Rattus norvegicus: one gene and its partners. The protein of the gene in region 3 interacts with the protein of the main gene of each other region in a biochemical or structural test. Links are inferred from orthologs where the notes say so. Each region holds a gene or a part of one and is shown on either strand. Other genes may lie near its edges.

Region 1 (7,634 bases), on a different chromosome or scaffold from region 3:
GGGATATAAAGTAAATAAATAACTTAATAAAAAAGAAAAGAACCTCTCCCTCCCCCAATAAAACTTGTTAACGGAACTGGAGAACATAGCCAAGTCATATAGTACTGGTCTAACAAGGCCCTAAGTTCAATTAAAAAAAAGAAAGAAAAACCAATAAAGTTACTCTGTGAGATCCACTTGATTATTAATTATTATTATACCAGGGGCATTGGGTATTCTCTATGCTTACTATAAAACGTCCTTGACAAAGAACACCTTTAACCAGCAGTCATGGACAGCAGTAAATCTCAGATTACAAAACAGAAAACTGGTAGATTCCATAGAGGATGACAGGGACTGAAAGCATATGCTCAAGTTAAATTATCCCCCAGACATTCAAGTATTTATCCAATATCAAGCTTCCCAGAACAAAAAAGACAAAAAAACCAAAAAAACTTTCTAAACTATTATTGATGGAATTAGCTACATTACATAAGGCTTAAAATATTATCTTTTATGTTCCTGATTTTAAAATTTGAAAAAAAAGATACAAATTCATGAGTAAATATAACATGTAATTGGTAAACAGTTATGAGTAATAATTAAGCCAGTGGTTGTCAACCTGTGGGTCACAGTCCCTTGGGAGTCAAACAATCATTTCACAAGAGTCACATATCAGCTATCCTGCATAGCAGATTTTACATTATAATTCAAAACACTATCAAAATTACAGTTACGAAGTACCAAGAATAATTATATAGTTGGAGGTCACAACACATGAGGAACTTCATTAAAGGGTCACAGCATTAGGAAGGTTGAGAACTACTTCAGTAAGTACTCTGAGAATACAATAACAAAATTTACCATTTTGGACCTTGAAGTTGGCTTGCTTTTTCTTAGAGACATATTTTCGAGATCCTCTGCCTTGGGGTTCTTCTGTGTATTTCTTCTGGCATTCATCAGCAGTTCGAGAACCTACTGCCATAGCCACATCTGACCAAAAGCCAGGTTTGTGCTTTGGAAGGGATGCAAAAGCACTACAGCAGACCAAAACCAGGGAAGAACAAGAAATTCAAATCAATGAAAATAATCTGAGAACATACTGAATCAGTGAACAAGAAATTCAAATCAATGAAAATAATCTGAGAACATACTGGATCAGTGATATTTACTAAGCTGGAGGATTTTTTTTTAAGACAAAATCATTCTAGGTAACTGTTCAGAAAAGATACCAATCTCTCTATTCCATAATTTTATTATTACAATATAATAAACTATGAAGATATAACAGTATATGTCTAGTAAAATGCCTTTAAACTATTTCTATTAGATATGAAAAATCTTCTAATCTTTCAACATTTTTTTCCTAAGTCCAACTAGTCAATGATTTCATCTCTGAGGGAATTCTGGCATATACTAATTTCTATGTATTGTCTATCAAGTCTTACTAGTACTAAATCTACAAGAAGATAAACTCCTAATTCTTTCATAGTTTTACGATTAGGTTTGAATAGGCATGATCAATGCATGACAAGTGTATTAAACAGAAATAGCATAGGAAAATCCTTAAATATATACAAATGTTTTAAGACTACTTATAAAAATGAAGCTGGGCATGGTGACATATACCTGTGATACCCGTACTAGAAAAAGTTGAGGAAAGAAATTAAAAAGTTAAAATTTAAGGATAGTAATACTGGGTCTAAAAAACTAATAAAGTATAAATACAAGGTGGTTCCAATTCAACCTATAAATGAAACTCTAAAAGTTCTGTTGCAAATCACTGTTTTAAAGCCTACCATACTATTTCCACCTCCCTGTACTCCCATGAAGACTTGTTATGTTGTGGTTAAGGTGACAATTAAGCCAGATAACTAATTCAGCAATTACCCTAAAATGGCACAGGGTAAATACTCCTTATCTCATATACTTAAGATACAAGTGTTTCAGGATCCAGTCAGAACATGAAATTAATTCATGTTTCATATATCTCTTCATACATACAGACCAAAAGTAATTACGGAGGTTTGTTTCTTTGATAGCTTGGAAGCATGATACTATTATTAAGTCATACCAACCTCTAGAAGATGGTTTCATATAGTCTTTTTAGTGATCCATTGTCACAGGAGGTGAAGTATGGATTTTCCACTGGTGTTATTTGTTAGGACAAAGAGTTTTAGATTTTGGAGCTTCTGAGTTTTCAGATTAGGGATAATTAAATAATATGACAATGTTACATCAACTGTATCAGGTTCCCTAATTCTGTATAAAACTATTGGCAAATCTATGACTGCCTAAAAGAACTATTTTTCATTAAAAATTCTTTTTTTAAAAGACTTATTTATTTACTATATATATGTACACTGTAGCTGTCTTCAGACACACCAGAAGAGGGCATCAGATCTCAATTACAGATGGTTGTGAGCCACCATGTGGGTGCTGGGAATTGAACTCAGGACCTCTGGAAGAGCAGTCAGTGCTCTTAACCACTGAGCCATCTCTCCAGCCCTCATTAAAAATTCTTAATGCATTTAATAAAAGTCAGTAATTATCACTATCTTCCAAGTTATTCCAGGTAAATAATGAGGTAAATTTAACATATAATCACAGCCATTAAAATCTTTGCTCTAACTTACGGTGATATTCTGACTGGCATTAGTCCCCTTACTCATGTGCTCTCTCCTCAACCTTCAGGATTCGGTTCATTCCAGCCTCCCAATATGCCCTCTCCCTTTCTAGATGAATACTTACATTGAATCTTTGGCTCACTTTTGATCTTTCACCTTTCCCATATCATCTAGAGTAGGTCACAATGTGCTTACAGTCTCATAAATACATATAAACTTGTTACAGTGATTACTATATGTGCTAAACACCTGCTTTCTAGGGTATCAACACAATAAAAAATACAAAGCTATTGAAGATTTCAATTCACTAAGTAAGACTGCATTAATGTAGTTTGTAGAATGTAGTAATTTGCATTTTCAGATGCTCATTAACTGATTATTATATCACTGGCAAGAACTAGAATAGGTTTTTATTCACAGAAAACCAGAAATCACATCTAATGGAATCAGAACAGGTGATAAGAAATAGCTGCAGTGAAGTGATAGGTAAAAATGGTCTTCATCTGGGTTTTAGGTATGTCTAACCCTAAGATGCGCTGTGATAATCCTTGTGGGATCATAACTGGACTAGATTACCAAGGAAGAAGAAAAGGAAGAACTGGGAATTAGAATGGACAAACTTCTGTTTGTCTTGAAGGCCCATTTCCTGATTGCTTTTAGCCTTAAGTCTAGCTTAGGTGAGGCTATAAAAGGGAGAAAGAAAAAGGATATTCACCCTAGGTTTGGTGATATGTAACATTCCAGAAGTTTTCAACTGAAGAAGGAAGGAGGTAGGGAGGAGAAAGAAGGAAGGAAGGGGCTTTGTATGCTGGTATAGGTGATCCAAGCACTTGGGAAACTCAGATCAATAGTTTGAGAAGAGTAGGCCAGCTTTGTCTTGTTCTAGGATACCCAAGTCTACACAAAGAAACCCTGTCTCAAGAAAGCAAGTAAGTAAGTAAGTAAACAAACAAACAAACAAACAAACAAACAAACAAATTTTTGGAAAAAAAAATATAATGTTAAAAAGTTGTATTATAAGGAAATGCTGAGAGATACAGCTAGAAAAGGTAAAATTGCTAGCACAGCCCGCTTTTGACCTAAAGCAGAAGAATATAAAATATGAAGTGATATTAAATGGAATGAAAATTTCTGATAGTTCAGATTCTCAGTTACATATTCTTTCTCTCTCCAGACAGAGTTTCTCTGTGTAACAGACCTGGCTGTCCTGGGTCTCACTTTGTAAAGCAGGCTGGCCTCACACTCAGAGATCCACCTGCCTCTGCTTCCCGACTGCCAGGAGTGAAGGTATGCACTGCTACTGCCTGGGTCTCAGTGATATCTCAAGCCCGACCTGAACATATCTGAGCTAGATTACCCAGATGGAAAGTACAAATGACAAGCACAAAGATGGTTCTACAATTCAGGCATTAAATAGGTGAGGTCTGAGAGAGAGGAATAGCAAGAAAATAGGCTGCACATAGATGGACCTATGGAATGGCTATTTAGCAATTAATAAGATTTTTTTTTAACCAATAATGGCAGAGTTTAAATATATTTGATGGAAAGGACTTTATCTTCAGAAATAAAATATTACCACCTAGATCTCCCCACTCATCTGTAGCAGAGGTACGACTGGAATGGAGGATAGCTCCAAAGCGGTTGCCTGTATGTGGATGTGCTCTACTAGCTGTGCTGCCTTGTCTGGCCTCGGTGGGAAAGAAAGCACCTTATGCATAGGGGGTGAGGGTAGGGGAGACCCATGGTATCCTCACTGGCTCAGAGGAAAAGGGGAGGCGGGGAAGGATTGTGGGAGGTGGTGACCTGGAGGGGAGGGTAGTGAGAGGGATGTACAGTGAATAAGTAAAAAAGAAAAAGGAAAGAAAAGAAAAATTAATTTAAAAAATTACCAAGGGCATCAAAAATAATTATCAATAAAAATATTCTTTCAATTTTTAATGGTCAGATCTTTAAGCAACATTTATATCGTTATATTCACCACAAAATGTAAATACAAATCTAAATATAGCAATTCAGGGCCACAGATAAATCTGAGGACCACTGTACAAAGAAGAAAGTCAGAAATGTGGAGGATAAAAGATCACTAAGGAACACACCTGCACTGGCTGGTTTTCTGTGTCAACTTGACACAAGCTGGAGTTATCAGAGAAAGGAGCCTCAGTTGAGGAAATGCCTCCATGAGACCCAGCTGTAAGGCATTTTCTCAACTAGTGATCAATCGGGGAGGACCCAGCCCATTGTGGGTGGTGCTGTCTTGACTTCCTTTGGTGATGAACAGCAATGTGGAAGTGTAAGCTGAATAAACCCTTTCTCCCCAACTTGCTTCTTGGTCATGATGTATTGTGCAGGAATAGAAACTCTGACTAAGACAATACCATAGCAAGAAAACAGACAAAAAAAAAAAAAAAAAAGAATTTCAGGAAGTAAAAAAGAATTATTTGCCTGAGAAATAATCAAAAAGGGATCATGTAGGGAATTGAAAATATCAGTGAAGGTTGTACAGTATCATAGAAATGTCTCAGAGAGAACATTCAAAAGGACTCAAAATGTATTCCAAAGCACTTTTAAGGACATATAGTAAATAGAATGCTAAATGTCACACGTTCTTCTCTCAGCCTCTTCTTTATCAGTTACGTCTTCCTTTCTTTTGACTATATCACTTCCATCAGCTACCACTCTACCCTAGCATCAACCCTCTGGCAAAACAACCAAATTATTTTCACTGTTTCCATACTCCTTGTATTACACATGGATTTTTAGTCCTCATTTTTGCCAATTTTCTTGACTTGTCTACATATGTTGTCATAGCTCTTTACTTTTCCTATTTAGGCTTCATAAGTCAATTATGATCTGGTTTTCATACTAACACACTATGGAAACTTTTATTAAGTATCTATAGTCAAATTCAATTCTTTTTTTAATAAAATCTTTTTATGTGAATGAGTGTTTTGCCTGCACCTATATCTGTGCAGAGGTGTGAAAGGCAGAAAATCCACTGGAATTGGACTTAGAAGTTGTAAATCACTATGTGAGTGCTGAGAATCAATCTCCAGTCCTGTGGAAGAGCTTCCAGTGAATGAGTGCTCCTAACTGCTGAGCCATCTCTCCAGCCAAACTCAACTTCAGTTCTTAAAGAATGTGATTTATCACGAGTTACAAGCACAATAATTATTCACATCTTCTGAAAAGCTCGCTAACATCACTAGTATATCTTTAAGTCAGCCCTTTCTGCTATGTTGTAACTATTCTGCACACATCCCAGAGACAAAACTACTTACCGATGAAGTTTCTGTAACTCTTGTTCATTCCATTCTCCATCATCAGTTGAACCAGGTTGATGGTCTAACAGTTGCCCGTTAGTTGTATCAGATGCCTTAACTTCAATTAGAAAGTCCTTGGTAATATCAGATTTGTAATGTGATTCTTTAGCAGAAGATCTAGGTTTCTTTGGTGTGACATAAGAACCACTCTCACCTGAAGATTCTGAAATCAGGATATCTTTTGTGATGTAGTTTGTGTTTTTTCTCTGCTGATCCAGCCTTTGTTTTTTATTTCTTGCTCTGGTTTTACCTTTAACTTCTATTTCATTCTCTTTACTTGACAAATGTGATGAGGACTGACTATACAGTGATACATCTATTTGATTTTCAGTTTTCTGCAGTTTCGAGGGCAACTTGTTCTTTTTCTTAAAGTCATTGGTGAACATTTGTTTACTTTTGGGACAAGGTATTGGAATGCTATGTGTGACAGTGATTATGTCACATTTGCTGCAGTCCTCTTTGGAACTGCCTTTATAATCCACACTGTGTTCAAAGGTCTCTGAGGACTTGCTGGTAGACATTCCATGTACGTCTGACTCACTTTCTTCTTGATGGTTTGCTTTGAGAAAACCCCTTACTCCTTCAATAGAGAGACTGTGTTCCATACATCTTTGCTCTATCAACTTTGTGGTTCTAAGTGGTGTCATTAAAACATAAGCTTCCTTCTGACCAAGAGGCGGGTGTCTTTCTTTGTTGGAGGTAGGCTGTTCCAGTGACTTCAATGGATCAATGGGTACATTTAAAACTTCAGTTCTCTCTTTATTTCATTGGAAATCAGAAAAATCTCATAAGTACAGGAGAAAATGCTCTACGAAATAAGACTTTTTTTTTCCTGACAGGTTACACAAAGCACTGGTCTATTAAGATCACTGTCACTTCAAATGTAAGCATGTACTTATGTATACAATTCTGCCAATGACTTGACTTTCCAGTTGGCTGGCATGCATGCAACTTTTCTACCTGGCCTTCAATATAGTTTCAGTCTTTTACTGACCACAAATTAGAACTATACTCTATGGATATTAGACCTTGTATTTCTCAAGGTCTGAATTTTCATTGTTTCCTCTCCCTTAAAATGTTCCTTAATCTGTAAGACCCTCAATTGCTTGCTCTGAATTTATTCTTTAGCTCACTGTATCTCTAAACTCCCCCTTTCTCTCATTAAATTCCCACAATTCTTTTTGAAATGCCATTTTGGTGTCCTACATTTTAGTTGTACTACACCAGGTTTATCTTTTGGTTAGACTGAGAAAATCATTAATGTCAGACCTTAATTTTTATAAACATTTTTTCTGATGTTAGTGCAGACACTCAAGAATTAGTAGATACTAAACAAATGTTTTAAAAATCAATTCTCAAAACGTAAAATAGCTAAAGAGATAAGGAATCCACTAAGCAGCCATGTAAGATACAAAACAAGTTTTGTTAGTTAAGGATGTAATTAGGAAAATGTGAAACTCTATCTGTACACTCTACTTGCATCCTCAATATGGCCAAAGCAGCACATCTTTGCAAATCTCTCCCAATTTCCAAGAATGGTGGGAATTAACTAAAGCTACAGAACTTGGTATCTATTCTATCATGCATAGGTGAAAAAAGCAAATGAGATCAGCAGTCCAATCCAAAAATGGAGAAACCAGAAGCAAAGCGACCCGAAATTCTAACTGTATGAACTCCTATTTATGTTTACTGTAGTGGTTTGAACCAG
Region 2 (7,563 bases), on a different chromosome or scaffold from region 3:
CTTCAAATCTAGGTGAAGCCCTGAGCTCAGTGCAATGCTGTCTGGGCTCAACACTATGTGTGTGTATGTTCAGACCAGAAAGGTTAGATGGAGTCCTCACAATAAAAACAGTACTTTTTTTTTGAGACAGGCTCTTACTCTGTAGCACAGGCTAGCCCTTAATGTAGTGTGCTTGCTTTAGCTTCTCTAGTGCTAGAATTCTGAGTAAGCCAGTACATTCGGTTGGAGCTTTGTTCTCACAGGATCTCTTTACCTCAGGGAGCTGTCTATAGCCAGAAAGAAACCTCAGCAGAACTGGCCAAACCTACACCATCTCAGCCTTCAACCCTTAATCGATTTACTAGCAGTTTGACACCAGCGGCTTGGCTGGTGGCCATGGCCAATTGCTGACTTGCAGGTACTACAAATGTGGTCTTGGCTGGAAGTGTGAGAAAAAGAGAGACCGTAGGAACCATTCTAAGGGAAGGACAGGAGAAAAGTCCGCCCTTCAGCCTTACACTGAAAACCATCCCAAGAGGCAGTATACTAACAGTTGTCATTCTGTTACCACACACAGAATGATTGAAACTGCTCAGGAAGACTAGCTGCTGGCAACCTCTACAGTAGAAAGAGGCCTCATGGGTGCTACAGGGCTGCAAGAGTGTTTGGAAATAATTCAGAGTTGTTTCAGAGATTTCCTTTAAATCTTGGGATTCCTTCATGTGAGTGAATCTCAAGCAGTTTTAGCTGGCTGTCTCTTTAAAAAAGGGAACGGCCCTATTAACTTCAGGGATCACCGTGTCTGGGGCTCAACTGTAGGTTTCATATGCAAGTGATGTTTCAACAGAACGTGGCGCACAATTCTAGATGGCATGCCACAGCGAGAAAAGAACTTGAGGCAAACAGGTCCACAGGGTCGACTGACATTGAAAACGCTAACAATACAACTTTATTTGCAAAACCACACCAGGCCCTTTCCACAGTGCCAGCTGCCCTGGAGGGGCGTTAAGGGCAGACAGGTCAAGCAGGGCAGCACACAAGCGATGCAAAGGCGGTACAGACGGTTGTGGCACAGCATGTTTGAGGTGCGTCTGAGGCCAGCCTAGGTGACAGTGACAGAGACCCCATCTAAAACAGAACTAGAGGCAAGAGGGGCAGGGGGAGGCAAGATTTTTACTTTAAAAAATTTTCCTAACAAAAATCACCTTTCCATCCGGACCGATGAGAGATAATTTTAGTACAATTCCCGTAGTTCTTTAAGGCCTGCCACTATGCCTGACGTCTACTGCACTGCACTTGTGTTTATGCCCGCCGTGGGAACTCTCATTGTCACACTGCAGTGACAGCGATGACAAAGGTTGCTGCTGCTACCCCAGCTGTGTGCCCTGGGGTAAGTCAGCCCCATCTGAGTGAACTTAGGAGTGGGCAGACACAGACACACACTGTCCTCATAAGAGAAACAGAGACTGCTCACATCAGTGTCACTGAGGGGTCCTTAGGTGGATAGAGTAAGGTCTGTAAAAGGCTTACTGGTCCAGCACAGAAGGAACCAGCTTTAATATCCTTCATGTTGTCACTGAATGTGGAGATCTGTTATAGCTGAAGGAGAAGGAAACAGAAAATGAAGCTATTGAGTGTTCAGTGTGGCTGAAGATGGGACTAGAGAAGGCATCGGGTAAAGGCCCTAAGGATAGGCCATTGAATTCAGGGAAGTGGTGAGGACCAAGGACGAAGCTCTAAGTACTGTGACTCCCACCAACCAGCAAACTGATTGACTTTACAGAGAGTAAAGTCAAGGTCTCCTCTAGCGGTCGGGCGAGAGAGGTCTCCAGGCTTTGGTAAAAATCAAGATTTTCTCTGAGTAGAGTACCAGGAAGGTGGGACTTCAAAGGTGGGGCATGTTGCACATGTCTTAGGAAGGCTGAGGCAGAGGGCTACAAGGTCAATCAGTTTGGGATACATAGCAAGACAGGGTTTAAAAACAAAGTAGCAGTATTTCATTGGCGCTAGAGCTGGAGGAAGGTCCAGACGGCGGGGCAAGGGACACAGCTGTATTCCTGGGACAGCGGGGGACATAAGCAAAAGGCTGAGGACACAGGCTGGGTGAGGAAAGCAGGTTCTGGACTAAGGCCTCCGGTGGCCTTCCTTCCCATTGGAATCTCAGGTTACCCTGAGGTGACCTGGACACGAGTACGCTCTCAGTCCCTTCCGCAGTGTCTGGAGCTGGCCACCGGGGCACCGTGGTGGGAGTTTGGTCTAGGAGGCTGAGACAGCTAGACAAGCAGCTCAGGCCAAGAGCGAAGGGAGCCTGCTGGCGGGCATACCCTGCCAGGGATACCTGCCACACCAGGTGACCAGAGACCCAGCTAGTATTGTTGAAGTCTGAGGTCTGGCCCTGCTCCTTGTATCGATGGCTCTACCCCAGGTGGGTCCCTTCCCTTCTTGGCAGTTCAATCAGCTCATAAAGTGTTGTACCCATGGAAATAAATCCGAAAACAAAGATTAGCCTCAGAATTTGGGAAACGGAGGCAGAGGCAGGAGGATCAGGAACTTGAAGTCACCTCAACCATCCAACGAGTTCAAGGTCAGACCAAGCTATGTAAGACTGCCTCAAAAACAAAACATCTCCCCCACCCCACCCCCAAACCAGAGCTCCTGAGACTAAGCCAACGGGTGGGAGCAGGGTCCGGGCTATTACCCAACCCATGGACTTACACCATGTCCTCCAGAAGGGCACTTACCTACACAAAAGCAGAAGAGAGGAAGGTGAAGATGGGTGTGGGGAGCGGGGAGCAAAGACAATGTAAGCAGTTAAAGTCAAAAGGAAAACTGCCATCGAGAATCCCCTGAATATGATTTAGAGACATATTCGAGGCTGGCTGGAGAAGCCCAAGGCAGAACAGAGGTGGCGCTGTGATATGGTGCGGGGGAGGTGGCTGGGCAGAGGCCAAGTGGCTACTGGGAGCTGCAGTGAAAGATTGTTCAGCACACTTGATGCTCTGGGCCCACCTCCAAAGAGAAAAGCGTCTGCCAAGTCTTCTCCCTCAAAGCAGCTACTGACTACACATCATGTCCAACGGACAAACACGCAGCCAGCAGTCAGGACACTCAGAGCCGGCCTGCTGCTCCCGAGGAATCTGGAGACTTGGCCGGGTATGACAACTTGCGCCTCTTTGTTGACAACCAAGGGCCTCTCACAACAGCACTAGCAGTCTGTGCAGACCTGTGACCCTCAACTGCAGTTGAATCCTGTGGAATTCTTATGCGCCAGTCAGGAGATGGCGACCATTTCTGGGAACTCTGGAGTGGAGAGTCTGGATTTAATCTTTTCAAGTGCTCTGTTTGACCGGGAACAGCTGCAGCAGCTTTCACTGGAGATAGTCTGCCACACAAAGTCACCTTCGCATGCCGAGGTGACACCAGACAATACTTCTGATAAAGTCTGTTGAATTCTTTTTTAAGCTCGTCATAGTGACCTCCACAGTCTGGAAAGTCCGGTGCTGAAATGGCTGTACTGGGCCATGCTGCCTTTCTGATTGGTTCAGAATTATGTTCTTGAAGATGGCCAGACCTCTGTTGAGAATGACCTGGACTTTGTGACGGGCTGTCCTCTGGAGAAGGGCCCCTCCTTAGGAGACAGCTATTTGTCTTGACAGACCTTCCCCTCAGGTCTTCAAAAGCTTCACCTGGCCTCTCTGTCTTCTCTCTGCTCAAAGGTGAACTCAGCTTGTGGGTTTCTACACTCTGGCGGCTGCCTGGGCTTTTAGAGCCACCTCTGTACATGTCTGCAGCCCAAGACTGCGTAGGGCCAGTCAGGCGAAGCCGTTTCTCAGGAGATGGGCAACATTCCTGATGGAGTTTCTCAAATTTGATTTTAACCTCTCTATACCAGTTCTCTACCTGACCTGGAGGCACCCTCAGCCTGGGAGCCATTTTAACGGGTGAAATTAACCACTGTAATGCCTTCACCCTGTCTTCTCGCCCAAGGTGGTTTACTGTGCTTAAGCCCAAATACTTCTGAGGCAGCCCCTGGAGCTCCTTCCAAGCTGGACTCAATTTATGGACTTGGAGTTTGCTTCCTTCAAGAGGAACACTTTCCAGTTCTAAGCCTGTCTTGTCTGTCTTGTGGGGATCAACATGCGGCAAGTTCTTGGAGTCCCTTAATACTCTGGCCTCTTTCCTGGGCTCTGAGCAGTGCAGGGGCCCCTTCCTAGAGCTCCTCTGGAAGGGTTTGCTCCTGTGGCAGTATGTCGTGTTCTTGTGCACCCCATGCTTTCGTGAGAGCCTCCTCTTGAGCTTCCAGTTCCTGTTAATGGAGGTCTTGGTGGAGATGATGCACGACGGCTTTGAGCGCAGCAGCCTGCTCATGGAGTGCATCATGCCTTCATACAGATCGCTGATTGTCACATTGCTGATGTCATCAACCTCAGGGCACTGGTTGCTTACACTGTTGCTGCTGGCCCCTAGTAAGGAGAAGCTGTCATTTCTAGTCACAATGGTCATGTCAGCTGGGCAAGGGTATGAGGAAGCCTGGTCTCCGCAGGATGAAGCAGACCCTTCAGGACCACCAAAGCTCTTTGCAGGGATACCATCCTGGCATCCTAGGGGAGAAACAGACAAAGTCAAGGGAAACCGCCACTCGATCCACCCATCCTTACCCACCGAGCAGGGAGCTGGTGAGGGCATCGCAATCACGACAGTTTAAAACAGCACAAATAAAACCCCAGAAGGGTTAAGGAATAAACTCTTCTTGGAAGATTTCATTTCAGCAATCAAAATTGAACTCCTGTTTTTCACTCCAGGTTTGTTAAGGGAGTCTCCTCCTCACACTGTTTCGAGATGGCTGTCGGCTCAAAAGCCAATACAACACGCAGACACACACACACACAGATGTAACCCTCAAAAAATTAATTAGAAAAATTCCACCGATGCAAACATTTTAATAAGAAAAGTCAACAAAAGGGACAGAAGAAAGAGGCGACTCAGTCTTAAGAGCACTGGCTGCTCTTCCAGAGCCTCAGCGTTCGGTTCCCAGCACCCACGTGGGGCAAGACAATGCAACTCCAGCAGGGCCCTCTTCTGGCCTCTGTGGTCTGTGGCACCTGAACAGAAACACATGCATGCAAACACACATACACACGCACCACATATATACAGCAGAAAAAAGAAAAAAAAAAAAAGAGAGAAAAAAAAAAAAAAAGAAAAAAGAAAAAAACCAAACAAAACCCCCAAAAAAACCAAAACCCCAAAAAAACTCCTGACCTTTAGAGGATGGCTGAGAAGGTAGGACCTATGTATGCATGGTGCAGCTATGACTTCTGCATTACATGAGTACTTCATAGATCTCAAAGAGTAAAATCCAACCCACAGAAACAGGAAAAGCCTCAAATGGAGCACTGGAGACAGGCTGACACGGTGATGGCCACTCAAGGAGCTGCTAAACTCAGTGGGTGCCACCCGAGTGGGCCTAATACAAAAATGGCCACAAAGGACATCATGGGTCAGTTGGTAAACTCGTGTCATGCCAATGAGAAGTTTCTGGCACATTTTGAATCTTTTATAATCATGGAGAATCACCCAGTTCTTGGAAAGTACATGTGAAAGCGCATGTATAAATCTATACCGCCTGTGTACATACATGTGTTCTGGGGAGGGTCAGCGAAAGGGCGAGGATAAATGCTGCCTGTGACACACAAGGCAGATAGGCGGCTGCTGCTCACTCCTGTGGTGCAGATTTCAAATGTTCAAACTGATGAGGGCAAAGGTCTATACAGCAACTGGTATAATGACTTCAGAGGGATAGCCTGGGCTACAGTGAGACTATACCAGAGCAGTCTTTGTTCCCAGGACAGCACTTGTCGATGACAGTTCCTCACACTCATGTGGAACACCCACCACAGGTGATACCAAGTCTCCAGGGACGAAAGACACAGTTCACGTCAAACCACTCCCTCATACTCACCAGGGGCTGGTGTGACAGGTGACGTCCAGGAAGGAAAGCAAGTCGTGACCGTGTCTTTTCCATCTCCCTTCTGTGTGTTCTGAAATCAGAACCAGTGATCAAAAGGGTTTCGGATGTTCAGACCTTGTGTTTATGGATCTGGGCTCTCTCTAAAAACACACTGTCCTTAGATAACATTAGTTATTCCCACTTCAAAACAAGTGCGCACCATAATGCTGACTAGTGTTCAAGCCCCAGGGGGAACTGGTGGCCCCAAAACATGTGACCTCTGCCTACAAGGGCACAGAGACCTTTGTGGCAGCTACTCCTGGCCCGGCTATCAGTGGCTCTTGTCTACCATTACACTTGGACTAGTCAGAATATCCAAAGGCCATGGAGATGGTGGGCAGAAGCCAGACAATTGGGCCTAATTCTGACTTTTTCCTTCGATCACAGAACAGCCAGAAGTATACCATCTATTGATCCAGGTGAAGGGGAATGTACCTCAGGGACAGTAGTCAAGGGATGTCCAAACACGGGCTTCAGCTGGTTACCAGCACAGAGAGAATGTTGACTTCATGGGGACCCACAGCCACCATGAGAGGGAAAGTGCTTGTTACCTGACACTACTCTTCAGACATATGGCATTAGGATGTTAGGGTGTCCTTTGTTTCATGAAAGATGCCAACAGAATTTGGGCATCTAGAGGTGACCAACTCCAGCTATTCTAGTTAGCATCAGCGGTCAACTTGACAGGGCCCACAGTCACCTGAAGAGAGTCTCAACTGAACAGCAGTCCTCATCAGGTGGTTGTCCGCATGTCCACGAGGTACTCGGCATATCCGTGAGGGGCTGTATTGATTACTAACTGACCAAGGACGGCCCAGCCCACTGTGGGTGGCATCCCTTGGCAGGTGGCCCTGGGCTGTAGAAGGACCCAGCAGAGAGAAAGCGCTGTGGTGTAGCAGAACGAGCCTGTGCTGGGAGCGAGGCTATTCCTGCAGTCGTCTTCCTGCCTGCCTTTCACTCAGCTCACACCCAGAACAGCAGGCTTGGGATCAAAGAGGTTTCACCAGGGAAGGTGTGGGCTAATTCCTCAACTGCAAAGCTAAGATTTGTTGCTGCTCTAGGAGTCCACGGCCCCACTGGATCTGAGCTATCACAGGACAGTGGACAAGTCTCCCCCAGCATGAATCCCATTTCCCAGGTTTTCCTGATGCTATCAAGGCCCCTGGGGTGTTCACTGTAGAAGGGAAAGTCTGATAGCCTATGGAAAGCAAGGAAATAATCAATCAGACCCCTTCACAGGCTCTGAGAACAGTGCACTGGATCTTGACGACTGTGCCCCAATCTGTTGTTAATGTCTGGTCAAGTTACCAGCACACGCGCACATAGATTACCTTAAAATATTCTGCGTCCTGAAGCAGTATATCCACCTGGGTCAAGTACTTCCTTCTTAAATCAGTTTTCAAGGTGTTTCCGGGCACTGTCAGCTGATTAGAAGGAGAGGTCAGAATATTCAGTCAGAAAGCAGGTACCCCAGCCTTGTGAATGCTGGAGCAATCTGAAATCTCATAAATGTGTGAATACTTAGAGTCCCTTCTTCACATTTGCTGTGGTATGGCCTCTCTGAACTTCCACAG
Region 3 (7,626 bases):
TACCTAAAAACAACAGCAAAAAGATACAAATTGTTTATTGTGCATGCATTCTATTTCTTAACTGTTACTTATTACATATATATTTGTTGTTTTGTTCCAGACAGGGTTTCTCTATGTAGGCCTAGCTGTCCTAGAACTCACTCTGTAGATCAGGCTGGCCTTGAATTGAAAGATCGCCTACTTCTGCCTCCAGAGTGTTGGGGTTAAAAGCATGCACCGCCACCATCCAATGTACATATCTATTTTACATAAACAAAAATGATGTCTTGGTGACATTCTTCTTTAATTCTAGCAGAGGAAGCAGAGGAATGTAGATCTGTATAACTTTAAGGCTACCCTGGTCTACATAGAAAGTTCCAGGACAGCCAAAGCTATAGAGAGAGACCTTGTTTCAAAACAAATAAACAAGTATTTATAAGTATTCATATAACTGGCACGTAGAAGTACCATCTCTATTAACTCCATTTCTTTATCCAGGCCATCTGTTCATTCTGTTCGTCAGTGGACACAAGGGACACTGCATGCTAATTAGTTATTAGTAGTGAAATACATTTTCAGAAATAAGCATTATGGAATCAACATAGTAAAATAAATTTAAAGTAATAGAGTCACGTGCTGCAGGATCTTTGATCATTCTATGAACCCCAAGATTGTGTTGTTTCCTGAAAAACAAAACAAAACAGTTTCTAGTTGTGGTATGGCCCAGCTCGCGCGCACGCACACCTTTGTTCCCAATGGCTGGAATAAAGCATACATACACACCCTTAATACACACCTTTAATCCCAAACCAAGGTAAAGTTAGAAGTATAGAAGGAAGCACCCATGTTTGAAAATAATATCTGGGGGGCTGGAGAGATGGCTCAGTGGTTAAGAGCACTGACTGCTCTTCCAGAGGTCCTGAGTTCAATTCCCAGCAACCACATGGTAGCTCACAACCATCTGTAATGGAATCTGATGCCCTCTTCTGGTGTGTCTGAAGACAGCTACAGTGTACTCATATACAAAATAAATAAATCTTTAAAAAAAAAAAGAAAATGATATCTGATTGAGTGGCCGACAAGGTGACGAATTGGAGAAAGACTTGACAGAATAGAATATACCCTACTCTAATGAGGAGAGAAAAAGGAAGCTACTTAAGGGGCAGTGCAGAGAGAAAAGAAGATGTAGTTTTACAGACAGGTTGAAGAAAGAACAAGCTAAACACAGTTAAAGACAGAGGGAGCCAGAAGATTAGAACATATTGCCATAACATAAGTTAGTATGAGGTCAAGCAGAGCAACTCAGAAGCTGAGAAGCCAGACTGAATCAGTCAGCATGGTGAGCCAGAAGAGCTGAGCTGACCAGCTGGAGCTCAGAAAGAACTAGAAAGGGTGAGCTTATTCAGCAGCAAGTCTCAGAGGCTGAGAACATTCTAGATCTAGGTAAGACTGTATACAGGCTGGAAGCTTCCCGAACTAGGCCTAGGTTAGCAGATGGACGCAGTAAGCCTTGGAGAAGACAGCTACATCAGGCAAATAAAAGTTATTACGGGGGCTGGAGAGATGGCTCAGTGGTTAAGAGCACTGACTGCTCTTCCAGAGGTTCTGAGTTCAAATCCCAGCAACCACATGGTGGCTCACAACCATCTGTAATGAGCTCTGATGCCCTCTTCTGGTGTGTCTGAAGACAGCTACAGTATACTTCTATATAATTACACAATAAATAAATAAATATTTAAAAAAGTTATTACGGTCACAGCTTATTATGAAAAGGAAAAACACTGACTCCCCAAAGCAGGAGTGGGCTGATGAGCTGGGGAAATAGGCTTGAAGGCATATTCTCAAACAATGTGATGAGTACAGATAGTGGGACATGTTCTTAGGAACTTTAGGGAGGCCTCACATCCATAACACAGCTAAGGATTGCCTTACTCTTGTGATCTTCCTTCCTGTATTTCAAGTGTTGGGATCACAGGCATCACCAGATCTGACAGCCCTCTGTTCTTAATATTTAATATTATTTAAAAAGTTAAAGACCAAGAGGGTATGGTGGCACATGCCTTTAATCCCAGTACTCTGGTGGGGCAGGAAGATCCTTGTGAGATCTAGGACAGCTAGAAATACATAGTGAGACCCTGTCTCAAAACCAAAATGCCCCCCATCCCGCCACCAAAGAAAAAAAAGAAAAGACCAATGGGAACTAGAGAGATGGATCATGGATAAGTGTTAAGAGAGCTTCCAGCTTTTGTAGAGGTTAGTTCCCAGCACTTAACAACTGCCTGTAATTCCAGCTCTACCGAATCTCATGCTCTCTTCTGGCCTCCATGAGCAACAGCCCACATGTTCCAACCATACACACACACACACACACACACACACACACACACACACACACACAGAGAGAGAGAGAGAGAGAGAGAGAGAGAGAGAGAGAGAGAGAGAGAGAGAAGGGGGGGCAGGGAGAGAGAGAGAAGAGACCTTAAGGAAAGAAGAAGGAAGAAATGACCAGAGCACTTCGGGTGTTGAAGGAAGTTCTGTACGCTACCTTGCTTGTTGCTTGTTCTATTTTCCTGGTCAGACTGAGGAGGAGTCTTTTCCTTCAGAACCCTCAGCAGTGAGTTTAAACGAGAATGCATCAGCATTATCTTCTCTTTCAGCTGAGGAGAGACACAGATTGAGGACATCTTATACTCAACCCTTGATTTGCTGCTTATAATGTTACCAGACTTAAAATAAAACAAATCTAAAAACAAAACAAAACCAAACACACTTAAAAATTGCCTGTATTAAGGGAATGGATATAGCTTAGTTCTAGGAGAGCCTGTTCTACATAGTTAATTGAGACAAGTGACAAATACATAGTAAAAATCCTGTCTCCAAAAGGGAAACCCAAAATGAAAATGCTGTGTACGTAAGTAACTATACAACCAGGTTTACCTCTGCAATCTTTTCTGGTAAAGGTACATTGTAAATATCCATCTCAGATGTATTTACTATGGCCTTTGTTTTTAACAGATAGCTAGAGAGAAAATATATAGAGAAAATATTAGTACCATTACCAATGGACCAAACTTGCCCTCTAAAATATCTGTTGAGTAAAACCTTCCTTATGGTTTGAAGCAGCATGGTGTATTTTACTGGAAAAAAAAATATCAATTAAAACCACAAACTCTGCTTGAACCTTTGCCATTCTCAGTAACAAAACTGTCTCAGGAAAAACTAAAGACAATCCAGAATCAGATGGATAACCATCATTGGTAAAAGTTTACAACTTTTACCCTGCAGTACGGTGCAGCCTTGACGCCATCACTTTGAAGGAATGGCAGGTGGGCCTCTGGGAATTGAAAGCTGGCCAGGACTAGATGGGGAGTTCCAGGTCAGCCAGGGATATTAGAGACCCTGTCTCAAAACAAAATAAAACACAAAATGAGAAGGAAAAAAAAATAAGAGGATGCTTTTTAATGCTTATTTTTCTTTTTAAATATAATTCTAAATAACAATAACTTAGGGGGAAAAAAAGAAGCCAGGCATTATGATTTATGTCTTTAATTCATCAGGGTTCTCTAGAGAAAAAGAATTTACAGAATCAATAATGTCTCTTTATATATACATTGTAATTTTATACCAGTCAGGCCAAAGAGCCAGACCTACTCAAAGCAAACAAGCAAAAAAACAACAAACAAACAAACAAACAAACAAAGACATGAAAAGGAAGTAGAAATTTACAGTATGTTTGTTATTTAAGTATAATGCCAGGACACTGTTGGAAGTTGCGTGAATAACAGGAAAGCCAAGTGGCCACTAATGGTCTCAGAGTTAAAGGAGACTTTCTTATAAATGTTGTTTTGGCTTACATAAATCACTACAAACATCTAAGTACATTAAAATATGTTAGTATTACATTATTGTTTGTTTGTTTTTCAAAACAGCATTTCCCTTTGTAGTCTTGGCAATCTGGAACTCACTCTGTGGACTGGGCTAGCTTTGAACTCAGAGAGCCACTTGCCCCTGCCTCCTGAGTGCTGAAATTAATGGCATGTGCCACCATGTCTGGCTAAGTAATCTTAACTTCTGAGCCATTTCTCCATTCTTTCAGTTTCTTGTAATAAAATATCTTAGATTAAATGTTTAATTAGTAAGGAAGATTATCTGTGAACACAGAAACTGTGTACTAGAAAAACCTGTTTCTGGTTGTGGTGTGGCTCAGCCTTAGCACACACCTTTAATCCGAGAGCTGTTTATTGTAAGCAAAGTCTGAGTAAAGTAACTGCAGATCAAGACGTGCAGCAAGCAACCATTGACAGGAAGCGAACATAGGAAAAACCCATAGAGTCAGAGCAGGGGTCAGCAGGACAGATAGAGAGAACAGGAGTGGTGGCTCACACTGTTAATCCTAGCACTCCAGACACAGTTTGAGACAGTGAGTTTGAGGCCAGCCTGGTCTAAAAGCAAGCCCAAGCAGCCAGGGCTATTACACAAAGAAACCCTATCTTGAAAAACAAAAAACCCAATAAAACAAGAAAAAAAATTGAGAGAAAGCAACCTAAGCACTGGCATTTGTCTTTCTGCTTCCTGCTGCTGATACAGCATGACCAGCATCTCCTCCATGGACTTCCCACTGTGATGGACTGTGCCTTCAAACTGAGCCACAAGAAGCCCTCCTTTCCTGAGCTTGCTTTTGTCAGGTATTTTGTCTTGTCATGAAACAAGTAACCAACACAGGCCTTATTTCAAACTCCTGGGGTAGAAAATCTGATTGGCTTCCTTGGGATGGAGATATATAAAATCTCCAAGTTGTCTATATTGACACTATTTTGCAAAAGCATACCTTCCAGAATTTTCCTTAATGAAAGAACATTCTTAAATTAATCCATATTAAGACACAGTACAATAAACCATCTAAAATAATATTTATTTAAAAATTATATTTTATCCCTATGCAAGTATATATTATAATAAATAGTGCCTGACCTTTTGTATCTTCTTTGGTTATAAACACCTGGACTTTCCTAGCATCTTTTAAAAACCTTATTTAATAAGTAATGTCTCTACTCACCACAGCATTTTATCACAAGAAAGGCAGAAATGGCCTCTCAAGGCAGCCAGAGCAGCACGGGTAGAATATAAATGGAAACCAACAGGAGTCCCACAGGAGTTACAGAATAAAAGGTTGTATGTGCTGGTGGGAAAGGAAAGAAGCAGAATATAAAATAATGAAAAGCTAAAAGAGAAATAAAAATAACTACCCTCATCAGGTATAGTGTTGGTATCTGTTACTCTAACACCCAGAAGCATAGGCAGGAGGAACTCAAGTTCATCGACCTGATGGACTTCATCAAGTTCACTGGCTCCCAAGGACAGCCTGGGCCATATAAGACTCTTGTTTGAAAGAAACAAAAACAAAGAACATAATTTTTGACCAAAAACAAACTAAAAACTTTTAAAACAAAACAATACAATCCTCAAAACTAATTTTGGTACTGTCTCTGACCACTTGTGTAATTCATGGCTCCCTACCTAATAAAGAAATTTACTACTGTCCTTAAGATGTTTTGGGTTTTTTACTCCCTTATAGTCAGTTAGCATCATATAGCTTGCTAGGCCACTGGATCATGAACACCAAAGGACTTAAGGCAGTTACTTCCAATATATATTGAAAATACAATTGTTTCTCCATTTCCTTATATAGAATAAGGTCGATTAGGTTTTAATTTGTATTCATTATAAAAGTCTGTCAGTCTGGAAGACAACAGGACATAATATCAGGCAGTGGAGTGGAATAAAGATTTTTCTTCACTGTCACTCATTCCTTAAGTGCTGGGATTAAAGGCACCACCATGCCTGGCCAAAACTTTAAGTACCAATAGACTGTAATCCAAAAAAACTTTTTGAAATAATTTATAATAAGTGTTGTGTCACATACAATACAATCTAACAATCAACTACTGAGTTCAAAGATAGTAAAGAATGTATCTCAAGACCTCAAGTTTACTAGTGAAAACGACCATTTACCTCAGTTAGGATACACACAAGCAGAACCACACAGTGGGGAAGTCAGGGCTGCACTAACAGCAGGGAAAGGTACCTACAACCAAGCTTGACAGTGTGATCCTGGGTCTGGACTCCTCAAAGGTGTCCTCTCACCCTCATTAGTGTACCTTGGCATGTGACTACACAATACACACACTAAATAAATAAAGGTAATAAAACTATTTTTAGATTATAATGTGGAACAGAAATCTCATTCTCTTCTTTTAACTTGTATGCATTTTTGAAGTATTTATTATAGATCAACTCTAGCACCTAATACAAGATAAGCAAACATAGTACTTCTAAGCTATAGCACATCTCCAAATGTATGATTAAGTTTTTGTTTGTTTTTCTCAGACAGGGTTCCTTTGTGAACCCTTGGCTGTCCTGGAACTAGCTCTGTAGACCAGGCTGCCCTTGAACTCACAGAGACCCTCTGCCTCCCTAGGGCTGTGTTAAAAGTCGTGTCCTACCACCACCAGGCTTATAATTACAGTTTTTAATCAGGCTTTTTAAAAAGATTTTGGGTGTAGGTTCTGATGCTTGTGATCCAACACTTGTTGGCAGAAGCAGAACTGTAAGGTCAAGGTAAGACCATTACTACCAATATCAAAAGTAAAAGAATTTGTGATGTAACTAGATCAAAAGTGTCACTTCAGGGCCAGTGAAATGACTCAGTGGGGAAAGGCACTTGCTACCAACCCTGAGACACGGAGCTTAATCCTTCCATCCAGCATGGTGAAGGCAAGACTGCTTCCGGTTACCTCCGGGCCTACATATGCATGCTCCCATCGCATACGCAAACATATTCACACAAAAAAAGTTTTCAATGTAGGAGGATCACAAGCTTTAGGCCAGCTTAGGTGACATAGTGAGTTCCTGGCTAGTGAGGTTATTGAGTGAGAGAGCCTATCTCAACCCCTACCCCTAAATGCTTCTGAAATACTGTATGAATTCAAAGTATTCTCAATTCAACAATGTCCACATCCTAATGGTCCATTACAGCTGGTAGTGGTTACAGTACTGGACACATGTGACCATCTACATCAATTCTGAGTACTTCTGCCTCTTGCTCCAAACAACTTCAATAGAAACAGGCCACTCCTTCCTGGTCCCCTTTGAGAGAAGGAATTCCTATAAGGATAGGAATGTGTCTTTAGTTTGGCAAAGTTGAATGGAGGTATGGCTACAACTTAGCTTGGCCTCACTCTAAGCCCGAGTTCACTGAGTACTTTATTGCTATAGGAAAAACATTAACAAACAAAGATGCAGAGTTTTCTATAGATTACTACAGAATTAGTCTTGTCGTGATTTATATTATGTTTATATATTTACATTATAAGCTCCAAGTTAAATAGTCCTAGTTATCTCACAGACCTTAAGACCTACCCCCAACTTTAACTTTCATTAAAGCCAGGTTAATATGACTGAAACGGGTAAAGAGTTTATCTTTCAAACATACTGTATGGAGAGAGTAAACATGCCACAACACAAAGTTTCTTTCTTGTTTACAACAGTTACGTACTCTTGACCATCATTAAATCCGGAACAATACAGATCCACCTCAGGAATTCTCCACACGTACCTGGATTTGAGAGAACCTTCTATGCCAACCAA
Region 4 (7,634 bases), on a different chromosome or scaffold from region 3:
TTCCAGAGACAGGAAATGTGTCTATTTCACATCTGTGGGACAGACAGACCCTGAGTACCAGGATCTGAACAACCTCAGGGTTAGACAGGCAGTGGCGGTTACGAGCATTTGCCACTCCTATAGGAGCTGAGTTCATTTGGCTCCCAGCACCCACGTGGCAGGCAGCTCACCCTCCCTAACTCCAGCTCTGGGGTCTGATGGCCTTTGCTGACCTCACACGTGGCACACACATATACACACAGGCAAAACACCCACGAACACAAAGTAAGAAAAGTTTTAAGAAGTAAGAGTCAGACAACCTCAATTTGTGTTTTACACAGCTCTCTAGGGTTACGGGGGATGATCGTTTGAATAAGTATTACAATTTTATTTTTTAAAAAAAGCGGCAGCAGCCTGGCCCATGAACTACCTCATCAATCTCCACACGAGGAGGGACACACTCCTTCCCACTTCTCCTCATACAGTGACTTCATGCCATCTTGTCAGTAAGTGTCCAGGGCTGAGATGCTCAGCAGCACTGGCTGCTCTCCCGGTGGCTCTAGATCAGTTCCCAGCACCCACAGGGCAGCTCACAATGGCCTAATTCTGCCCCCAGAGATCCAATGCTCACTTCTGCTCCACAGGCACTGCACCCATGTAGTGCACAGACATGAGTACAGGCAAACACCCAGACACATAAGATGATAAAGAAATAATAAGTCTTCTTTTGGAAAACCTACGGTTTATATTCCTGGGGAAAAAAGCATAGTAAAAAAACCATAGACAGTGATTAATCCCTCTTTAGAAAAAAAGGAATAAACTGGAAAAAAACTGATTTAAAAAAATTTTAAACTGTAAATAAATGTTATACCGGGCAAACACTTCTATAATAAATTCAGACCCCTCAGCATGGGTTCATACCCTGTCCCATAAGGTAACAAGGATCCTAAATTCAATTCTTTTTTTTTTTCCTTTTTTTTTTTTTTAATAGAGCTGGGGACCGAACCCAGGGCCTAGCAAACGCTCTACCACTGAGCTAAATCCCCAACCCCCCTAAATTCAATTCTTTTTTTTGGGGGGGGGTTCTTTTTTTCGGAGCTGGGGACCGAACCCAGGGCCTTGCGCTTCCTAGGTAAGTGCTCTACCACTGAGCTAAATCCCCAGCCCCCCTAAATTCAATTCTTAAGGAGAAAAATAACTTCAATATTGTGATCTTCTACAAAAAAATATTTTACATTTTTTTCTTTTATACTGATAGTATCATTTTAAATTTTTTTTAGCCTGGCATCCTAGCCCCTCAAAGGTTGAGGCAGGAGGATCATTGAGTTCAAGACTAGCAAGGGACAGAGAGTGAGACCCCCACCTTGACCTTAAAATGAGAAAAAGAAGCTGTGAATCCCACCTCTCTCCTTCCTGACTGAAGGTGCAGTGTGACCAGCTGCCTCCAGCTCTGTGAACACCCTGTCCACCCTGCACCCTCAGGCTCTGTGAACACCCTCTCTACCCTGCACCCTCAGGCTCTGTGAACACCCTGTCCACCCTGCACCCTCAGGCTCTGTGAACACCCTGTCCACCCTGCACCCTCAGGCTATGAACACCCTCTCCATCCTGCACCCTCAGGCTCTGTGAACACACTCTCCACCCTGCACCCTCAGGCTCTGTGAACACCCTCTCCACCCTGCACCCTCAGGTTGTGAACACCCACTCCATCCTGCACCCTCAGGTTGTGAACACCCTCTCCACCCTGCACCCTCAGGCTGTGAACACCCTCTCCACCCTGCACCCTCAGGCTCTGTGAACACCCTCTCCACCCTGCACCCTCAGGCTCTGTGAACACACTCTCCACCCTGCACCCTCAGGTTGTGAACACCCTCTCCACCCTGCACCCTCAGGCTGTGAACACCCTCTCCACCCTGCACCCTCAGGCTGTGAACACCCTCTCCACCCTGCACCCCAAAGGCTGAGCCAAAGAAACCACTCCTTCTTTAAAAATAAAAACAGTGTCAGCAGGTATGGTGCACAGCATTACTTCCAGCACTTGGGAGGTGGAGGCAGGGACAGAGGCGGAGAGGAAGGTGGATCTCTGAGTTGAAGACTAGCCTGGTCTACACAGCAAGTTCAGGCAAGCCAGGACTATATAGTAAGACCCTGTCTCAAAACAAAACAAAACAAAACAAAACAAAACAAAACAGAGAGGGATTTGCTCCAATCCCCCTGGATTAAAATTCTGTCTTCCATTTTATCATTATTTACTGTTAAGAGAAGATCTTGCTGGGTAACCAGGGTTGGCCTCACCCCTGCTCAGCCTCCGGAGGGTGAGCACTCATGGCTGAGATGCCCTCTCCTTTACAGACATGTGCACCCTCAGTTCGCTGTCGCTGACCCTAATGAGCAGCTCACAGGTTAAGGGATCACCTGTCCGGGACCCAGCCTGCTAATCAAACATGGACTACCAGACACACACGTATGCTGTTGTAACATGGAGCACTGCTTGCTTAGTGATTCTTTCATGTGAACTGGTTTGTAGATTATAAAATTTTTACTTAAACTTGCTGGTTTCAAAAGGTGACAAATATAATTAAAAATTACAGTTCCTTATTACAGTAAATAACTGAACTCATATTCTAGTCTTCTAAAATATCAAAGGAACTCCTTCAGTAACAGATTCCTCATGCCATTCTTTTTGGGAGTTAGAGTGGTTCTATGACGGTCTCATGGATCTCCAGGCCAACTCTCTGTGTAGCTTCAAGTCCCAATCCTCCTGCCTCCACCTCCCAAGGGCTGAGATCCCAGTGTGCACCACCACACTCAGTTTATACAGTGCTGGGCTCTGAACCCAGGGTTTTATATATGCTAGGCAAACATTCTACCCACTGAGCTATATCCCCAGCCCCTCTTCAGGAACTTTGAAGGCAATGGTTCTTAACCTCCCTTTGGAGGTCAAACAATCCTTTCACATAAACATCCTGCATAACAGATATTTACGTTACAATTCACAGCAGTAGAAAAATTATAGTCATGAAGTAACAACGAAAATCATTTTATGGTTGGAGGTCATCACAACATTAGGAACTGTATTAAAGGGTCAAAGCACTAGAAAGGTTGAGAACCACTGTTCTAGGAAGTTCATAATGGGGACAGGAAAGTATGGACAGTACATACTGGTCCACACAATTGCTTAAAAACACCTTGCCAGGCAAACTTACACATGCAATCCCAGACCTGCAAAGCAGAAGTATTTGCTTCAAGGAGATCTTAACTTTGAAGTCAGCTAAGAGTCTGTACTGAAACGGTGGTACATGCCTTTAGTGTCAACACTCAAGAGACAGAGGCAGGCAGATCTCTGAGTGTGAGGCCAGCCTGGTCTACAGAGTAGCCAGGGCTACAAAGAAAAATCTTATCTCACAAAACAAAAACCAAAAAAGTAAAATAAATTATAAATAAACAAAAACTTCAATTGATTTTTACTTAAAAAAAAGGGGTGGGGGGGGGTCACACATGTTCTCCTATAATCTGTCTGTCTTTTCCGATACCAAATAAATTAGACCCAAAGTTGGGTCAAGGGTGACCACTGGCTTTTCGGCCAGAACCCTACAGTGCTGACACAGTACAGTGCTGTTGTTCTTTTTTTTTTTTTTTTTTTTTTTTTGGTTCTTTTTTTTGGAGCTGGGGACCGAACTCAGGGCCTTGCGCTTCCTAGGCAAGCGCTCTACCACTGAGCTAAATCCCCAACCCCAGTGCTGTTGTTCTTACACAGCTCTGCATACCTAGTTCTATGAGAGAGAACCAGTCAAGAGGCAGCACTTATCTATTACACCTACCTTTCAACGGCTTCAACGCTGAGGCAGAACAAGTTCCTCTTGTAATCCAGGTTCTTGGGAGTGCATCTGTACACATAGCCAAGGCTGAGGGAGCAGCCTGAACAGTACAACGTCTCAAGGATGCTGCAACAGAGAAACGCCACCACTCAGGGGAGAGCAGCAGTCCCTAAGATAAGAGTCCTCCCTGCTAAAATCCATGAGCTGGGGCTAGCAAGATGGCTCAGGTAAAGGTGCTTGCTGACAATGACAACCTGACAACCTGATTCGATCTCAGGACCCATATAGTGAAACTCTGACCTCCATAGACAGACAGACAGACACACATTCACACACACACACACACACACACACACACACACACACACACACACACACACACACACATACAGAGTGACTTAAAGAAGTAAAAATGAACTTAAACTAAGTAAGGTCCATAAACCCCTAGGTAGTTGAGGTAGACAGGGGCTACTGCGACCACTGCTGCTGCTGTTGTTGTTCTGTTGTTCTTGGGACAGGGTCTCCTCTGTAGCCCAGCCCTCCTACACCATCCTCCCATGGCAAGTGCTGGGGTGACAAGACTGCATCGCCACACACAGCTTCACTCTGACATATTAAGTCACATAGATGAGGAAGAAAAGAACAAAGGCAGAAAGACTGCAGAACTGCAAGCACAGCTCTAGGCCACACCACCATGGACAACAAATGATAAGAAATGTAAACAAATGCCAAGGCAGGGTTTCCCAGGACACAGAGTCCTTGATCTGGGATTAAGACAAACTATTTAAAATCTGGAAAAGCAACAGAAAGATTCCAAATATCCTGTTCTTATAGTTGGGCTGCCTTGTCTGGCCTCAGTGGGAGAGGATGCACCTAGCCCTGCAAAGACTTGATGTGCCATGGTGGCAGGAATATATAGGGGAGACCCCACCCACTCAGAGAAGGGGAGGGGAGAATGGGGAAAGGATTGTGGGAGGGGATGACTAGGAGGGTGGCAGTGAGCAGGATGTAAAATAGGTAGATGATTGATTGACAGATAGATAGATAGATAGATAGATAGATAGATAGATAGATAGAAAAATAAAGATGCATATAAAAGTCCAAATCCAAACAAGATTCCATATATCTTTTACAAAGCCCAACCCATCATTAATATTCTAGGTAGGAAAACAGGCAATTTTTCTCTATAATGACAGAGAACAAACATTTCAGGTGTCTGGTGTAAGCATTAGCCCTGTACTGTATCAACAGAACCAGTCTGACTCACAGACCAGGCATGGCGGTATACACCTTTTATCCCAGCATTTGGGAGACAGGAGGATCTCTAAGCATGAGGCTGGCCTGGTTCATCCAGCAAGCCCCACTATAGGCAGGGCTACACATGGAAACCCTGTCTTCAAAATCAAGAGACAAATAAACAAAAATATGCCCTGTCACTCACCAGTCCGCAGCTCTGCTGCTGTAGTGGGCAGGCAGGTGTGCAGACTTTAAGAAATGTTCTGCACAGTGGGGCGATGATGCCACATGCGAGATCAGCTGTGACAAGTTCCTGGCTGACTCCTGATCCTTCTGCCTCCGACCTTCCGAGTGCTGGGATTATAGGTGTGTGTCATCACAACCAGGGAGGTAACTCAGTTGCTGACTGCATCTGCTGTCTTGGTTAGACCTGCCTTGTTTCCTTACACCGTACTTTGACATAAACACTTTACCATCAACTAGAGATAGGTCAACACAGGCGACTCACAGCATTTTACTTCAGTTTCCATTATTTCTCTGCACAACTGTCCCAGTCTTCTCAGCTCCTGTTCCACAGACTTGGCTCTCCCTCTGTGCCCACTCACATCTTTAAAATGTCCTTACAATCAGTCCAATGTCTCCCAAAAGCCTTTGCAAATAGTGTATTTAAATTACCATTCTGTAAGAAAATTACAGTCCCAACATTTACCAAATTATTATTGGATTTTTAGTCTACTCTTAATTAAAGTACTGAAATGTACACCACAATGGATTAATATTTCCAAGTACTTTAATTCCTCCTTAATAGGGGACCTGCTATCACTAAGTACTGTTCTTGCCACTGAAGAGCCAGACAAAGCAGTGTATACATGCTGGGGTCAGGAAATGGGTCAGTGCCTAAGAGCAGAACCACTCTTGCAGAGCACCGAGTGGGGTTCTCAGAATCTACATAGTGGCTCATACTGCCGTAACTCCAACTTCAAGGGATCTGTCTGTCCTAGCGTTTCTATTGTATCCATAATCAAAGCAACTTAGGGAGGAAAAGGGTTATCAGGCTTACACTTCCACATCATAGTCTATCACTGAATGAAGTCAGGACAGGAACTCAAACAAGACAGGAGCCTGGAGGCAGGAACCGATGCAGAGGCCATGGAGGGTGCTGCTTACTGGCTTGTTCCCTATCTCTTGCTCAGCCTGCTTTCTTACAGAATCTACCATGGGCTGGCCCCTCCCCCATGGATCGCTAATTAGGAAAATGCCCTACATTCTTGCCTACAACATCTTATGGAGGCTTTTCTTAACTGAGATTCCCTCCTCCTCCTTAGCTAGAGTTAAGCTAACATAAACTAGCCAGTACATGTTCTTCATCACAGTCCACACTAACCCAGAGCCTAGAATACCCTTGGGGAACAGTCGGGAGTAGATGGCCACTATCATTGGGCCTAATTCAGCCCATCACTGAACAAGACTGAGAAGCAATACCAGGCACTATAAAGCAACTTTAAACAAGAACTGGCTCAATCCTAAGAGCCTAGGTAAAGGATAGAAATGAGAAAAACAGACAGTACTGCTAGCTCTACAGCCCGGCTCTGATGCCCGTCCCATGGCTTGATTGACCACAGCAATGACTCAGCCAGATGTTCAGTAGAAAGGACCTTGAAAAATGCATAAGCATCCCAAAACAATACAGTATTTCATAGGGCCCTAGTGAAACCCAAGGCAATTTAAGGCAATACAAATGATGGGTATAGGTAATGCAGGTAAAGAGCTCAAATCTAGATGGCTGACTTCTCAAAAAGCAGTTCCCTTCTCAACTTGAAGCTGACTTAATTCCCATTAACATAGATGAGTACATAAACAGTGGACCTGACACACATGGAGAAGGTGACGTTGAAAGACTCAAGCTGGGAAATCGAAAGAAAGAATGCCTCAGAGGCAGGAAGGCAAATGCCAACAGCCCTGTAAGAGGTCCTGAATCAGCGCTCTAGCCAGAGGAGCTCTCCTGGGGATTACTGTCCTTGGTCACAAAATGAAACATCATCTGAAGCTGAGATTTCTGGGCTGGAGAGATGGCTCAATGGTTAGGAGCACTGGCTGCTCTTGTAGAGAACCAGGTTCAATTCCCAGTACCCACACTGCAGCTCACAACTGTCTGTAACTCCCAAGGTTCCATTGCCCTCTTCTGACCTTCGTGGGCACCAGACACACACATGGTGAACTTACGTACATAGTTGCAAAACACCCATACATATTTAAAAATATATGAAGTTGAGATTTTCAAACTGTAATCATCTACCTGCCAGCAGCATAATCTGTCACACCCACATCATCTTTATCTGTATCAATGTGATTTGCCTTCCGGTTTCTCTAACACTTTATCTGAATGGGACATTTGAATATTACTAAAACCATTATTAAAACCTTCAAGTCAGTGCCACCTCTTGCTTCTCTGAGTACAACCTGAATTAGTCTCTCCACCTCAGCAAGACACAGCTCCTATCTGGGGTAGCAGATAGAAAAGGCAGAAATTTCTACTCAGTGTGCTGAGGACAGCACTGGTCAGACATTAGGCATCAGCCATGACAAGTTCTCTGTGCCCTC

Evidence for each region.
Region 1: the proteins of Oip5 (region 3) and Mis18bp1 form a complex in vitro, tested with the Homo sapiens proteins (2 studies listed by BioGRID). The link is inferred for Rattus norvegicus from reciprocal best matches to the Homo sapiens genes OIP5 and MIS18BP1.
Region 2: the proteins of Oip5 (region 3) and Hjurp form a complex in vitro, tested with the Homo sapiens proteins (2 studies listed by BioGRID). The link is inferred for Rattus norvegicus from reciprocal best matches to the Homo sapiens genes OIP5 and HJURP.
Region 4: the proteins of Oip5 (region 3) and Mis18a form a complex in vitro, tested with the Homo sapiens proteins (3 studies listed by BioGRID). The link is inferred for Rattus norvegicus from reciprocal best matches to the Homo sapiens genes OIP5 and MIS18A.

The regions. Positions count from the first base shown.
Region 1 is NC_086024.1:88,926,836-88,934,469, forward strand, and holds part of Mis18bp1 (mis18-binding protein 1), read right to left. Parts: intron 6,684-7,634; coding exon 5,885-6,683; intron 1,017-5,884; coding exon 844-1,016; intron 1-843. UniProt on the Homo sapiens protein: Required for recruitment of CENPA to centromeres and normal chromosome segregation during mitosis.
Region 2 is NC_086027.1:96,300,283-96,307,845, forward strand, and holds the end of Hjurp (Holliday junction recognition protein), read right to left. Parts: exon of another isoform or gene 7,414-7,563; coding exon 7,321-7,413; exon of another isoform or gene 6,021-7,320; coding exon 5,942-6,020; exon of another isoform or gene 4,581-5,941; coding exon 3,088-4,580; 3' UTR 2,248-3,087; downstream 1-2,247. Other genes in the region: Mroh2a (maestro heat-like repeat-containing protein family member 2A), read left to right, coding at 259-352. UniProt on the Homo sapiens protein: Centromeric protein that plays a central role in the incorporation and maintenance of histone H3-like variant CENPA at centromeres.
Region 3 is NC_086021.1:127,048,844-127,056,469, forward strand, and holds part of Oip5 (protein Mis18-beta), read right to left. Parts: coding exon 7,595-7,626; intron 5,159-7,594; coding exon 5,036-5,158; intron 2,999-5,035; coding exon 2,917-2,998; intron 2,637-2,916; coding exon 2,525-2,636; exon of another isoform or gene 2,524-2,524; intron 663-2,523; coding exon 631-662; 3' UTR 1-630. UniProt on the Homo sapiens protein: Required for recruitment of CENPA to centromeres and normal chromosome segregation during mitosis.
Region 4 is NC_086029.1:43,455,770-43,463,403, forward strand, and holds part of Mis18a (protein Mis18-alpha), read right to left. Parts: intron 3,924-7,634; coding exon 3,801-3,923; intron 1-3,800. UniProt on the Homo sapiens protein: Required for recruitment of CENPA to centromeres and normal chromosome segregation during mitosis.